3 linked regions of the Tribolium castaneum genome follow. The protein of the gene in region 2 binds, or shares a complex with, the protein of the main gene of each other region. Links are inferred from orthologs where the notes say so. Each region holds a gene or a part of one and is shown on either strand. Other genes may lie near its edges.

Region 1 (3,128 bases), about 11 Mb from region 2:
GATTGGCATCGAGAAAATTGCCAAATTCCCAATAGTTTTTTAGTTATGAATTTTTTAAAATATTACCAATTTTTGCATTTAGCAGCAATTTGCTCGAAAACTATTAGTCGGAGAACAATAATCTTTTTTGAAAAAAATAGATAATTTAAAGAGCTTTCCAACGATAATACACTTCATGGGGTTATCTCTAATAGTTCCGGAGCTATTGCTCGACAAATGTTCCGGGTACCCAAAATCGACAAAAACTGCGACGAAAATTGAAAAAATCAAACATCAAAAAATCGAACATTTGGACTTTTTGTGGACTTTTAACAACTTTTGTGGGTTGTTAAGACATGTAGGAGTCCATAAAAAGTTCCTAGAGTTAGTTAAAAAAAAATTTTTGTTTCACCTCTTGAAGGTACTCAGGAAATTTGAGCAAAAAAAATTGAAAATTTTAAATTGCGTGAAAAATTAGTATAATAGAGAAAAAAAGCCGCTGAATCCAATGGAACAAACCGCATTGCTCTACGACTTTTAGTTTTTGAGTTATGAATTTCAAAACAACACAGTGATTATTTGCTCGGATTTTTAAAAGAAATAAAAACAAATCAAAATAAATAATTTATTCAAAAATAAAAAACACTACAAAAGGCTAATATCTCCTAAATTGTTTTTTGAACTTTTCGTAGTGATAATCATCGGTGGCCCTCTCATCCTTTTTCTTCGGCTTTTCCGTAGCCTCCTCCACTTTATCATCCAACTTGGCCTTCTTTTTAGCAACCTCTGCGTCTATATTAACTGTAAAAAAAGTAAAAAACTCCAAATATGAGCAGTTCTGCCAACTCACATCGATTGTGCTGCACAAAATTCACCGCCATATTCGTCGGCACAAAAGGCGAAGGCCCGTCCTTCTTATTCTGCTTCTCCCACAGCAGCCTCAACTTCGCCTCTTCCGTAGCTTCAATATTCTTAATCTTGGCCTCAATCCCCAGGTCCACTTCCGGAATCCCATTCAACATCTGATTGGACAACATCTCCTCCGACCTCTTCGTCGACGACTCCCTCAAATGGTCCGGGACTGCCCTCAAAGCCGCCTCCTCGGGGCTGGTGTACGCCGACTTGTTCTCAGCCTCGGCCTGCTCCTGGGGCTCGACCTTGCGCTTCTTCTTCGACAACTCTTCTTCAATAAACTTCATCATTTCCTCGTCTTCGTCACGTTTATTCGTCTCGACCGAAAACTGGGTCCCTATGCCAGTGTCGTACGCATCATCGACTTGCTTGACTTTGCCGCTTTTAAGGGCTTGCATGTTGACCATGCCGCCGGACTTCACCTTGAAAGGGTCCTTTGAAATGCACTCGTCCTCGATGGTGATTTTGGTACCTAGGGCTAGCCCCAAGGCGTTGACTCCATGGGGGCGCTTACGCAAGTTTTGTAACTCCTTCATTTCTTCTAGTTTGGTGCTAAAAGCAACGTTAGGGGAGGCACCACAGTGAAGGGGGTCTTGTTACCTGACCTCCTCCAGGTCCTCCTCTCGGTCACTACCATCCGAGGGGCGCCTTTGGCGCAGCTGTTTACGGTTTTTACGTTTAAAAACGGGTTTCGAGTCATTTGAATCGTTAGATTCGGTTTTAATCCCACTTGTTGACATGACGAATTTGAGGTTATGACGCCCCAATAACTACACCAAAAACGACCAAAACCACCACAAGACACTCGAGACTGGCTCACAAAACACAAAATAATTCATAATTCGTGTGGCACCATTAAATTAAAGCCACAATTGTGTTTTTCGCTTAATCGGGTTAGGGATTTTCGTTTTGTCGTTTAGTGACAAGTAAGCACCCCGTTTAAATTTCAAATGTCAAAAAAAGATTTCAAAAAATTTGTGCCAAAAATGGATTTGGACGACACACCGTAAGTGTTTTAGGCCTAAAATTACCAAAATAACACAAATTAGTCGTAGCGTTGTTGTTACAACATCACGGGTATACTCGGACGTGTTCTCAAACAAGCCCTCTTCCTACTTTGAGTACGACAACTACAACCCCCCGACTGACGATATCAACAATTACAGTTTGATTCGGAAAATCGGTCAAGGGAAGTACAGTCTAGTGTTCGAGGGGGTGCACGATGGTACTAACGATTCGGTCGTGGTCAAGTTGCTAAAACCGATCAAAAAACCGAAAATCAAACGTGAAATTAAAATTTTGGAGCACTTGAGGAACGGCCCCAACATTGTGAGTTTATATGCCGTGGTGTCGGTGCCTTCCACAGCTTTGCACGCCCTGATTTTCGAATCCCCGTCAAATAATGAGGACTTTAAGGAGGTTTATTTGAAATTGAGTGATTCCGATATCCGGTTTTACATTTACGAAATTTTGAAAGCCCTTGATTTCTGTCACAGCAAGGGCATAATGCATCGTGACGTCAAGCCGCACAATATCATAATTGACCGGAAAAATCGCAAAATCCGGTTGATTGATTTCGGTTTGGCTGAGTTTTACCGTCCCGGAGAACGTTACAACGTCCGGGTGGCGTCTCGGCATTACAAAGGCCCGGAATTGTTGGTAGAGTACGGTTATTACGACTATTCCCTCGACTTGTGGTCGCTTGGGTGCGTTTTTGCCGCAATGATCTTCCGTAAAGAACCTTTCTTCCAAGGATTTGATAACCGCAACCAACTGTATTGCATTGTTAAAGTGTTGGGCACGAGCAAGTTTTACTCTTATTTGAATAAATACAACATTGTGCTGGAAGGTAGCATGCAGGAGATGTTGGGGATTCACTCGAAAAAACCCTGGCAGAGATTTGTCAATACGGAGAATGAGCATTTAGTGAATCAGAATGCCTTTGATTTTTTGGAATCGTTGCTTTGTTATGATCACATGGAAAGATGTACGGCTCAGGAGGCCTTGGGGCATAAGTATTTCGGGCCGGTGAGAAGCTCGGGGGCTTTGCCAGGGTTGGATAAGCTCAAGGTTTCAGGGTCGGGGCAAGCGGTTCATTGATTGTAAATGTATAGAATAAAATATTTTTGTGTTTTTGGTTTATTTTTTTCAATAATGTAAGAAAAAAAAGGAGTACCCCTGGTGGGACTCGAACCCACAGTCCCCGGCTTAGGAGGCCGATGCCTTATCCATTAGGC
Region 2 (4,216 bases):
AACCAGAATATTAAAAAAAATGTTAATAGATAAATTAACAAATTACAAAAATGACAGTTTAAACTTTTAAGAAAAACGAAAATTGGAAAAAATCCGAGAAGAATCAAGAGGATGAAAATATAAAACAACGAAAGTGTGCATTTTTTATTTTAACAGAAAATCTTAATAATACTCAGATTATTTATTTCCCTTCCACAGAGAATTTTGATAGACAAAAAAAATTTTAAATGAAAAAGAAAAAAAGATAAAATAACAAATGAGTTTAAGACAAAGTTTTATTATATTGATAATGCAAAGTAACATATAAAAAGTAATGAGGCCCTATTTTCTATGAAATATTCAAGAATTTCACAGAATAAAAATTTGTAATTTAAAGCAGTGTAATTGTAAAAAATACAGTTGTTTGTATTATGCACGCAAAGCCAATTTTTTTATTTTTTATTTTTTTTTAATTATGTAGTTGTAGTCTGACATTCTCAAGTTAAAAAACATTTGTTCTGCGCTAATTTCCATAAAAATAACTATTTAAAGCAAAATATTTAAAAAATAAAAAATAAATGGACTAATTACATAATTACAGTTAGAAAAAACAAAAATTAAATTAAATTAAATTAAATTAAATTAAAAAAAGATTAAACTTAAAAAAAAGAAAATTCTATGGTAAAAGATTAAAAAAATTCCGTAAAGTAGGCAAATATAAAAATACACAAGTCCTATCTTTTATTTAAACAAAAAAAATTGTAACATATTAAAAAATCACTGACACTTCAGGGACACTGGATAGAATCTTAAAATTCAAACTCCTTGTTTCTTTTCCAAGGGATTTTGAGAAACAAATTAAATAGTGATTGAAAAGTAATATTAAATGAAAATTAAAATACTCTAAGAATTACAAACTGCAAAACTGAAAAGAAAATAACAAAACTGTTCAATAAAAAAAACTAAAAAAATAGATAAAACTATAAGACGAGTTCTCAGATAACTAGATACCCATATTAAAATGTTTTGAAAATGTGTAGACAGATGTTCTGGTAGGTCAATTGGCGTGGAAACAAACGCAAAACTTTGAATAATTTAAAAGACGAATTAAAAAAAATTTCTATTTTTCCATTCATCAACGATTTTCGCACCAAACTCTGTATCATAGTAAGATAATCTTCATATAATTATATGGATGCACCTGTACTAACCATTATCATCAATAGTCCCGGAATTATAGATTTCAGAATAGATTTGATGCTAGTTAGTGTTTAGTAACGTTTTTCCAAAACGTTAAGAAGTATTTTTTGGAAGAATACGTATTTATAACAACTTACCGTTTGGGCTTAGACTCGCGTTTCGCCCCATGGTACACCTCAACAGACAGCAGCCCCCTTTTGGTCCTCCTATTAATCTCCTCAGACCATTGATTCATAAGACTGGCTGGACAAACGACCAAAGTGCCCCCTGGCCGTTTATCACGATGGTTTTCCTTATCTTGCTCTTCATCAGTGTTCAATTCCCTTGACTTCAATATTAGTGAAATCATTGTAAGCGTTTTCCCAAGTCCCATATCATCAGCCAAGAGCCCCCCTGAGGGTTTTTGTTTTTCGCGCCACAAAAGCCAGGCTAGTGCTTGCTTTTGGTGGGGCATTAGAGGCACTTTAAGCCCACGTGGGTCCTCCACGGTGTCTTTTTCAGTCGGACAAGTCTCCAAAGATTTGTGAAGCGAATCGAGAGTCTCCATTGCCATTGATTTCTCGGCCTTAAATCGAGCAACACCGATTTTACCAAATGTTCGGGGCCCCACGGCCCCCACGCCTGCCTCGATCTCGTCCCAAGCAACTTCGATTCGATTCTGGGCTGTTAAAGGGGGCTCCTCATTATTTACTTCCATGGTATCCAACAAATCCTTTTGCTCTTGCAATAGTTTGATCAATGATTGTTCTTTGTCGATTAGGGATTTCCCCCGATCAGGCAAATTTTCCAGTTTGATCACCCTCATGGCATTCTACAATTGATTACGTAAACAAGTGAAAATAAAGCGACGTTCACTCACTTTAGCCCTCAATAAATCAGCTTCAATTGAGCTGATTTTTTTCACTTGTTCCTCGTACTGTGCCCGGCCTACGATGGTTTTTTGGGGTGTTGGGGGCTCAAGTTTGACGTCAAGTAGCGGTTTTGTGTAAAAAGAAGTGATTTTTGTTTGTTTTTGACTAGTTGTAGGGACAGTTTCATCGTCACTGCTCACTTCGACAATACTGAGAGAATCATTGATAATTTCAGGGGTACTTCCATCGATTTTATCACTCGAGATGGACTTATCTTCCTCATCTGTGTAAAAAGAAGCTTTTTGGTCACTTCCTGAATCACTTTCATCATCACTGATTTGACTGTTGTCTCTGTAGCTAAGTCTTGAAAGATTTGACTCAATTTCTTTTACCGGCTCTTTGGCCTCATCTGCGTGATCTGAAGCTTCAATACGTCCTGATGAATCATAAGTTAAATACAATAAAAACGAGAAACTAAAAAAGTACCATCAAATGAGTCCTGCTCTTCGTCCGAGGAGAAAATATCACTGTTTTCACTCATGATTCAGTCGTTATGAAGCGCAGTCTTAATTCATTCAATTTATAGCACAATTAACGATTAAAAGAATGACGTTATCGTTATCACACACAAAAAACTTTCAAAACTTTTTCCGTTAGATAATTTTGCTGGAGTCAAAATCACAAAAGTGTTACCAACCACACACAAAACCATCTGTGGTTTCAAATAATTGTTTGATGAATTTCCTAACTGTTTTGTTATAGCAGTGTATGAATAATCACTTTTCCCGAATAGTTCGTACTAGTTGAGCAAATTTTACTCAAAAATTTGGGTTTGTTGAAATGACAATGCCACAACTTTGTTGGCACCCCTTAGTCACTAAACCACATAACCCCACTTTTTTCAAAAACAAATTAGTGAAATTTACAAGAAAAATGTTAACGAAGCCCCTTGAATTGGCCCAGCAAGTCAAAAGGTAATATTGGCAACTTAGTTTATAAATCAAACACCCAGAAACAAAAAATATTTTATTACTCCAAAACAATTGCTATTTAACCGAATTAATAACCTTTTTCTTGAGCTTCTTCAAAGCCTTTTTCTTGGACAAAACACTCTCCATCCCCACTTTTTGCTCCTCGTTAACCGCCTCCTTGAGCTTCCCTAACGCCTTCTTATATTTTTCACTCAACCCCTCCAATTCTTCAACCCCAACCTCAACCTCCTCAATTTCTTTCTTCAACAAGGTTTTAAACGCCGGCACTTGTTCCTCATGTAGTAGCGTCACAGCCAACCCCGATTCACCCGCCCTAGCTGTCCTCCCGGCTCTGTGTATGTACGTTTTCAAATATTTGGGGGCTGAATAAGAAATCACGCAATTAACCCCCGGCAAGTCAATCCCTCGAGCCAAAAAATCTGTACAAATCAATAAATCAACTTCACCTTTTGTAAAACTTGAAATAAATTCATCTCGGCTTTTCCCCTTCAAATTTGAGGAAATTTCCTCGATTTTTAACCGTTTTTTAAAGAGTGATTTAAGGAGGATTTTAAGCCTGTGGGCACTTTCGACTGAATGAGTAAAAACCAAAGTTTTAGTCAAATTTTCACGTTTGAGGAACGCGTACAAAACGAGTGGTTTGACGTCTTTAGAACAGACGATGTATTTCTCCGTTAATTCTTTCGGTGTTGTGTATTTTCCGGTCAAAATCATGGGTTTTTCCTCACTTTCGTTGTAGTTTTCCACGACCGATGAAGTGAAAAGCTTCGGTTGGAAAAGTGATAATTTTTCGATTTTTTCGGGGTCTTGGGTCAAAGTCGCCGAAAAGAGGAGTTTCTGAGGCGCCCTTTGTCTCTGTAAAGTACACACATTTAAAACTTTCCTGTTTTGAATCGTGTAAATGTGTTTCTCCAAATGATACAACCAATCGTCTTGAACACTTTCCAAAACACGATCAGCTTCGTCAATTATCAAAAATTCGAGCGCTTGTAAATTAAAACCATTGGTCGATTTTAAATGGTTCACTAACCGACCAGCCGTGCATACAAGAATGTCAATTTTGCTCACAAAACCAAAGCACTCGTTGAAATAAACCAATTGTTTTTGCTCAGCTTGAAACATTTGTTTGCCTGAGACCAGGCCCACTTCGATTCGCGTCCCTTGCGTGTACAACTTGAAGCTTTTAAACACTTG
Region 3 (3,600 bases), on a different chromosome or scaffold from region 2:
CAGGTAACGCGCCCCCAAGTTCGCCTATTACCCCTTTTTAGGGACTTGTTTTCAGTGTTCCAAAAGCCTGAACTCATTGCAATTTTACGTGACGTTTTGGTGTCTTTTGCACGCAAAATTGAGCCCCCGGCTGAATGTATCGTGGGATTGGATGCTCGGGGGTTTCTCTTGGGGCCGTTGATGGCGATTGATTTGAACATACCTTTCGTTCCAATTCGGAAAAAGGGTAAACTACCGGGGAAAATTTTGTCGGCGCAGTATGCTCTCGAGTACGGTCATGACACTGTTGAAATTCAGGAAAATAGCATAAGTAAGGGGCAACGCGTCCTGCTTGTGGACGATTTGTTAGCCACGGGGGGCAGTCTAGGGGCTGCCTGCCAGCTCGTGCGAGGGGCAGGTGGCGAAGTCGCAGGGTGTCTCGTTCTAATGGAGCTCGAGGGGCTCAAAGGCCGGGAGAAGGTGCCAGCAGAGGTATTGTCCATTATTAAATATTAATTTTTTGATTGATATTTCAATCGAGAGTGCCTTGCATTCCATCAAGTAGTGAAATAAAAAACCTATTTTTGTCAAGTTGGTGTTAGTTTGAAACTGTTTCCCAGAATTCAGAAATTATTTCGCCATGTTTTTCGATAAAAGAAACTACTTTTCGTTTTTTATTGAATATTTAATCTATGACCTTGAGAAAATTACATCAAAAGCTTACACCTAATCCTAGACCAATAGCGTTTGCGTGGGCTTCTTGCCAGGCCACGCCTCCTTGGCATACTTCTTTTTCTTGGGCTCCATGGCGTCCGCAATTTGTACTTGGGGCGGGACAAAGGGAGTGGGCGGGGCGAAGTTCTGTCCCATGTCGACATCTGGCGCCGGATTGGGTAAAACCATTCCAAGGCGTGAACTTAACGAACTGTAAATGCTTAAATTCCCTGAACTGGTTGGAGAGTGGGATTCGGGGGGCAGGTCTGTGTACAAATCGGGGGCGGAGGGATGAAGGATTTTGGGATTTTTGTATTCAGTGGGGATTCCGATATTCTCAGCCGCGAATTTGGCCCTCTTGATGGTTGAAGGTACAACGGTGGTTTGGACCAAGTTTCGGAATTTACCGATACTCGGGTCCACATCTTCAGGGTTTATGATCTCTTCGTCCTCGTTGAAGGAAACGACTTGGCGTTTGCGCTTCCGGTTGGTGTTGCGTTTTTCCGTGTCGTCGGTGATTCCCAGCATTGATATCCGCCGGTTGTGGGCGGTGTTAAATTCCGTCAAATTCTATGGAAAAAAATATTTTTTGTAAAGCTCTCAGCTTCGCTGGTTGGGGTGGTTTACATCGAGTTCCGTTTCGGTCTCGGGGAGCCCCAGCAATCCGCCCTCGGTCTCCTCGCCCGCCTTTTCGATCTCGTCAATGATCGGCCGCATGCCCGTCTGGGGCCGCTCCCTGATCGTGTAATTTCGCGTGGACGCCCCAAAGTGAAAACTAGAATCAATAGGCAACTGAGTGGGTTTATACGCCTCAAGTCTTAATGATCCTATGAAGGTGCCATGGGCTAAAACAACGCAAATTATCCAAGTCTTGACACAAAAAAGCCCTAAGTTGCGCACACGTGACACTTACTGCTCCCCAAATCCACCAGAAACGCCCGATCTAAGTGTTTGTGCCAAACGAGGGCTGCATGAACCCGCGAACATGACGCGTGATCGATGCAGAAATCGTTCATTTGGGCGTTGCGTCCAAATAAGTAACACTTTTTGTCGTCGATCATCAATTTTTGTATTAGTTTGTCGCCCTTTAGCACGTCCAAATGCAAACCCACGGGGGGCTTGCCTGCCCTGAAACAGCATAACCTCAACACACAAAAACACACGATTTGTGGATTGTGTGACAGAAAAGGGGGCGAAATGATAAGTGAGGGGTTCAGGGGCCAATAACACAATTTTTCAAGGATTATTTACCAATTTGGCACCTCATAATGGTTTGCCATTTGTCGCTTTTTTGGCAGGTGACATAACGCTACGTCCGAAGTTGCACAAGGCCGAATAAAACAACCTCGTTATTTGTCAATCTAACGACATTAAAACGCACCCAAATAATAAGCCCATCGTTTGTTTGTTATAAAATCACTGTTTTAAACTTTTTGTACCGATTTGGCACCGCATTGATTTGAGAAAACCTGCTATTATGTAGTACGAAAGTGCTTATGACCGAGGAATCATCAACTGATCAACACCAACTCAAAAGTTATGGGTTCAAACCCTGACCCAGACCATTTTTTTTTTTCGTTTATATGTATTATGAACTAATCGCTTACAATGAATCGTAATGATTTACTAGTTTTACGCCTCAAATTATGTAAATTTCAATCAATAAAGTCCCATACAAAAAAATTATGCTTTTTTATTAAACAAATTTAGTCTGTCGTTGTCGTCAACCTTGATAAAAGAAAACCCCACGCTACAAAATTCTTACTTTATTAGTCAAGTATTTACATAAATATGGGCCTACGATAATTAAAAAACTTAAATAAAATACTGGAGTCACAATAACTTAATGGACGGAACTACATTGGCAGGATTGTGGTAAAGTTGTCACCCTTTGTGAGCAATCCGTTGGTTCTTCAACCAGAGACAAGCACTTAGTACACTACTGGCAGTGAGTAGCGAGATCAAAATCGCCGAAACTAGTAGAAAATTCTGCGTCGTCATACAAACTTCCCCCTCAAACGCGGCCTCAGTATTGCCAATATCGTTCAAATCCTCCGCCAAAACGACCCTCAGGTGCTTCCCCATTGTGACCCCGTCAGTGTTATTATAGTACGAAAGGTCACGTTTGCGCCTCCTCCCAGGCTCGATTTGCTGGTTGGGCTCTGGACACACCTGACAGTCGGTTTTGCAAAGCTCAATGTTGCACTGAATCATCAAATCCATCACATCTGGGAATTTAAAAGCGTTGAAAAACGCGTAGGCAATGATGGAAGCGCCGGTATTTCCCGTGTTTCGTGTTTTTTGGAACGCGCCAAATAGTTTGGGTTTGAGAATACAGCCGTTTTCGTCGGTTAGGGGGTACACGCGGTCGCCGGTCGAGTCCGTAGCCCTGCAGTCTTTGACTTGGATGTCAAAACCGGGGTCTCCGGTCACGGAGATAACAAGGGTCATTTGCTCCCCGATTTTGACCAAACCGTTGGCCGGGGGCGCGAATGGGCCTTTGCCCAGTTGGATGTCCAGCTTGGCCATGGCGGTGTCCCCACTGAAAGTCACAATCTCCTGGCTTAGCATCCCCACGCTGAGCGCCACGCTGAGGGAGTCCTTCAGGTTGCCCTCCCAGAGGCACCTCACAGCTCTGATTGTGTCCCAAACCTCCTGGATCCCTTGCTCGTTTTGGATCACGAGGACGTTCTCCAGGTACGACTGTCCTTGAGTATCAAACGCGTTGATAAATTCAGTCCCACAAGAGTTCAAACTGACGGTGAAGCGGTATTTCGTCATTTCGGAATTTTCGTTCACGTAGCGACATTCAGGCATGTTGTAGTAGCCTTTGGAGTAAATCACTCCATTGAACTCGCGGTTAAATTCAATCGTGATGGTCATCATGTCTTTGGCGCACTCGACATC

Evidence for each region.
Region 1: lds (region 2) and splicing factor C9orf78 share a complex: the UniProt entries of both Homo sapiens proteins name them as parts of the spliceosome. The link is inferred for Tribolium castaneum from reciprocal best matches to the Homo sapiens genes TTF2 and C9orf78.
Region 3: lds (region 2) and NiPp1 share a complex: the UniProt entries of both Homo sapiens proteins name them as parts of the spliceosome. The link is inferred for Tribolium castaneum from reciprocal best matches to the Homo sapiens genes TTF2 and PPP1R8.

Annotation. Positions count from the first base shown.
Region 1 is NC_087394.1:36,668,192-36,671,319, reverse strand, and holds splicing factor C9orf78, read right to left. Parts: upstream 1,632-3,128; coding exon 1,492-1,631; intron 1,444-1,491; coding exon 830-1,443; intron 781-829; coding exon 635-780; 3' UTR 591-634; downstream 1-590. Other genes in the region: casein kinase II subunit alpha, read left to right, coding at 1,842-1,897, 1,941-2,991. UniProt on the Homo sapiens protein: Plays a role in pre-mRNA splicing by promoting usage of the upstream 3'-splice site at alternative NAGNAG splice sites; these are sites featuring alternative acceptor motifs separated by only a few nucleotides. May also modulate exon inclusion events.
Region 2 is NC_087394.1:25,403,994-25,408,209, reverse strand, and holds the start of lds (transcription termination factor 2), read right to left. Parts: upstream 2,848-4,216; 5' UTR 2,572-2,847; coding exon 2,517-2,571; intron 2,467-2,516; coding exon 2,039-2,466; intron 1,991-2,038; coding exon 1,317-1,990; intron 1-1,316. Other genes in the region: probable ATP-dependent RNA helicase Dbp73D, read right to left, coding at 3,077-4,216. UniProt on the Homo sapiens protein: DsDNA-dependent ATPase which acts as a transcription termination factor by coupling ATP hydrolysis with removal of RNA polymerase II from the DNA template. May contribute to mitotic transcription repression. May also be involved in pre-mRNA splicing.
Region 3 is NC_087396.1:21,737,761-21,741,360, reverse strand, and holds NiPp1 (nuclear inhibitor of protein phosphatase 1), read right to left. Parts: upstream 2,201-3,600; 5' UTR 1,974-2,200; coding exon 1,945-1,973; intron 1,822-1,944; coding exon 1,607-1,821; intron 1,539-1,606; coding exon 1,321-1,538; intron 1,264-1,320; coding exon 712-1,263; 3' UTR 644-711; downstream 1-643. Other genes in the region: Aprt (adenine phosphoribosyltransferase), read left to right, coding at 1-3, 42-495; EGF-like domain-containing protein 2, read right to left, coding at 2,578-3,600. UniProt on the Homo sapiens protein: Inhibitor subunit of the major nuclear protein phosphatase-1 (PP-1). It has RNA-binding activity but does not cleave RNA and may target PP-1 to RNA-associated substrates. May also be involved in pre-mRNA splicing.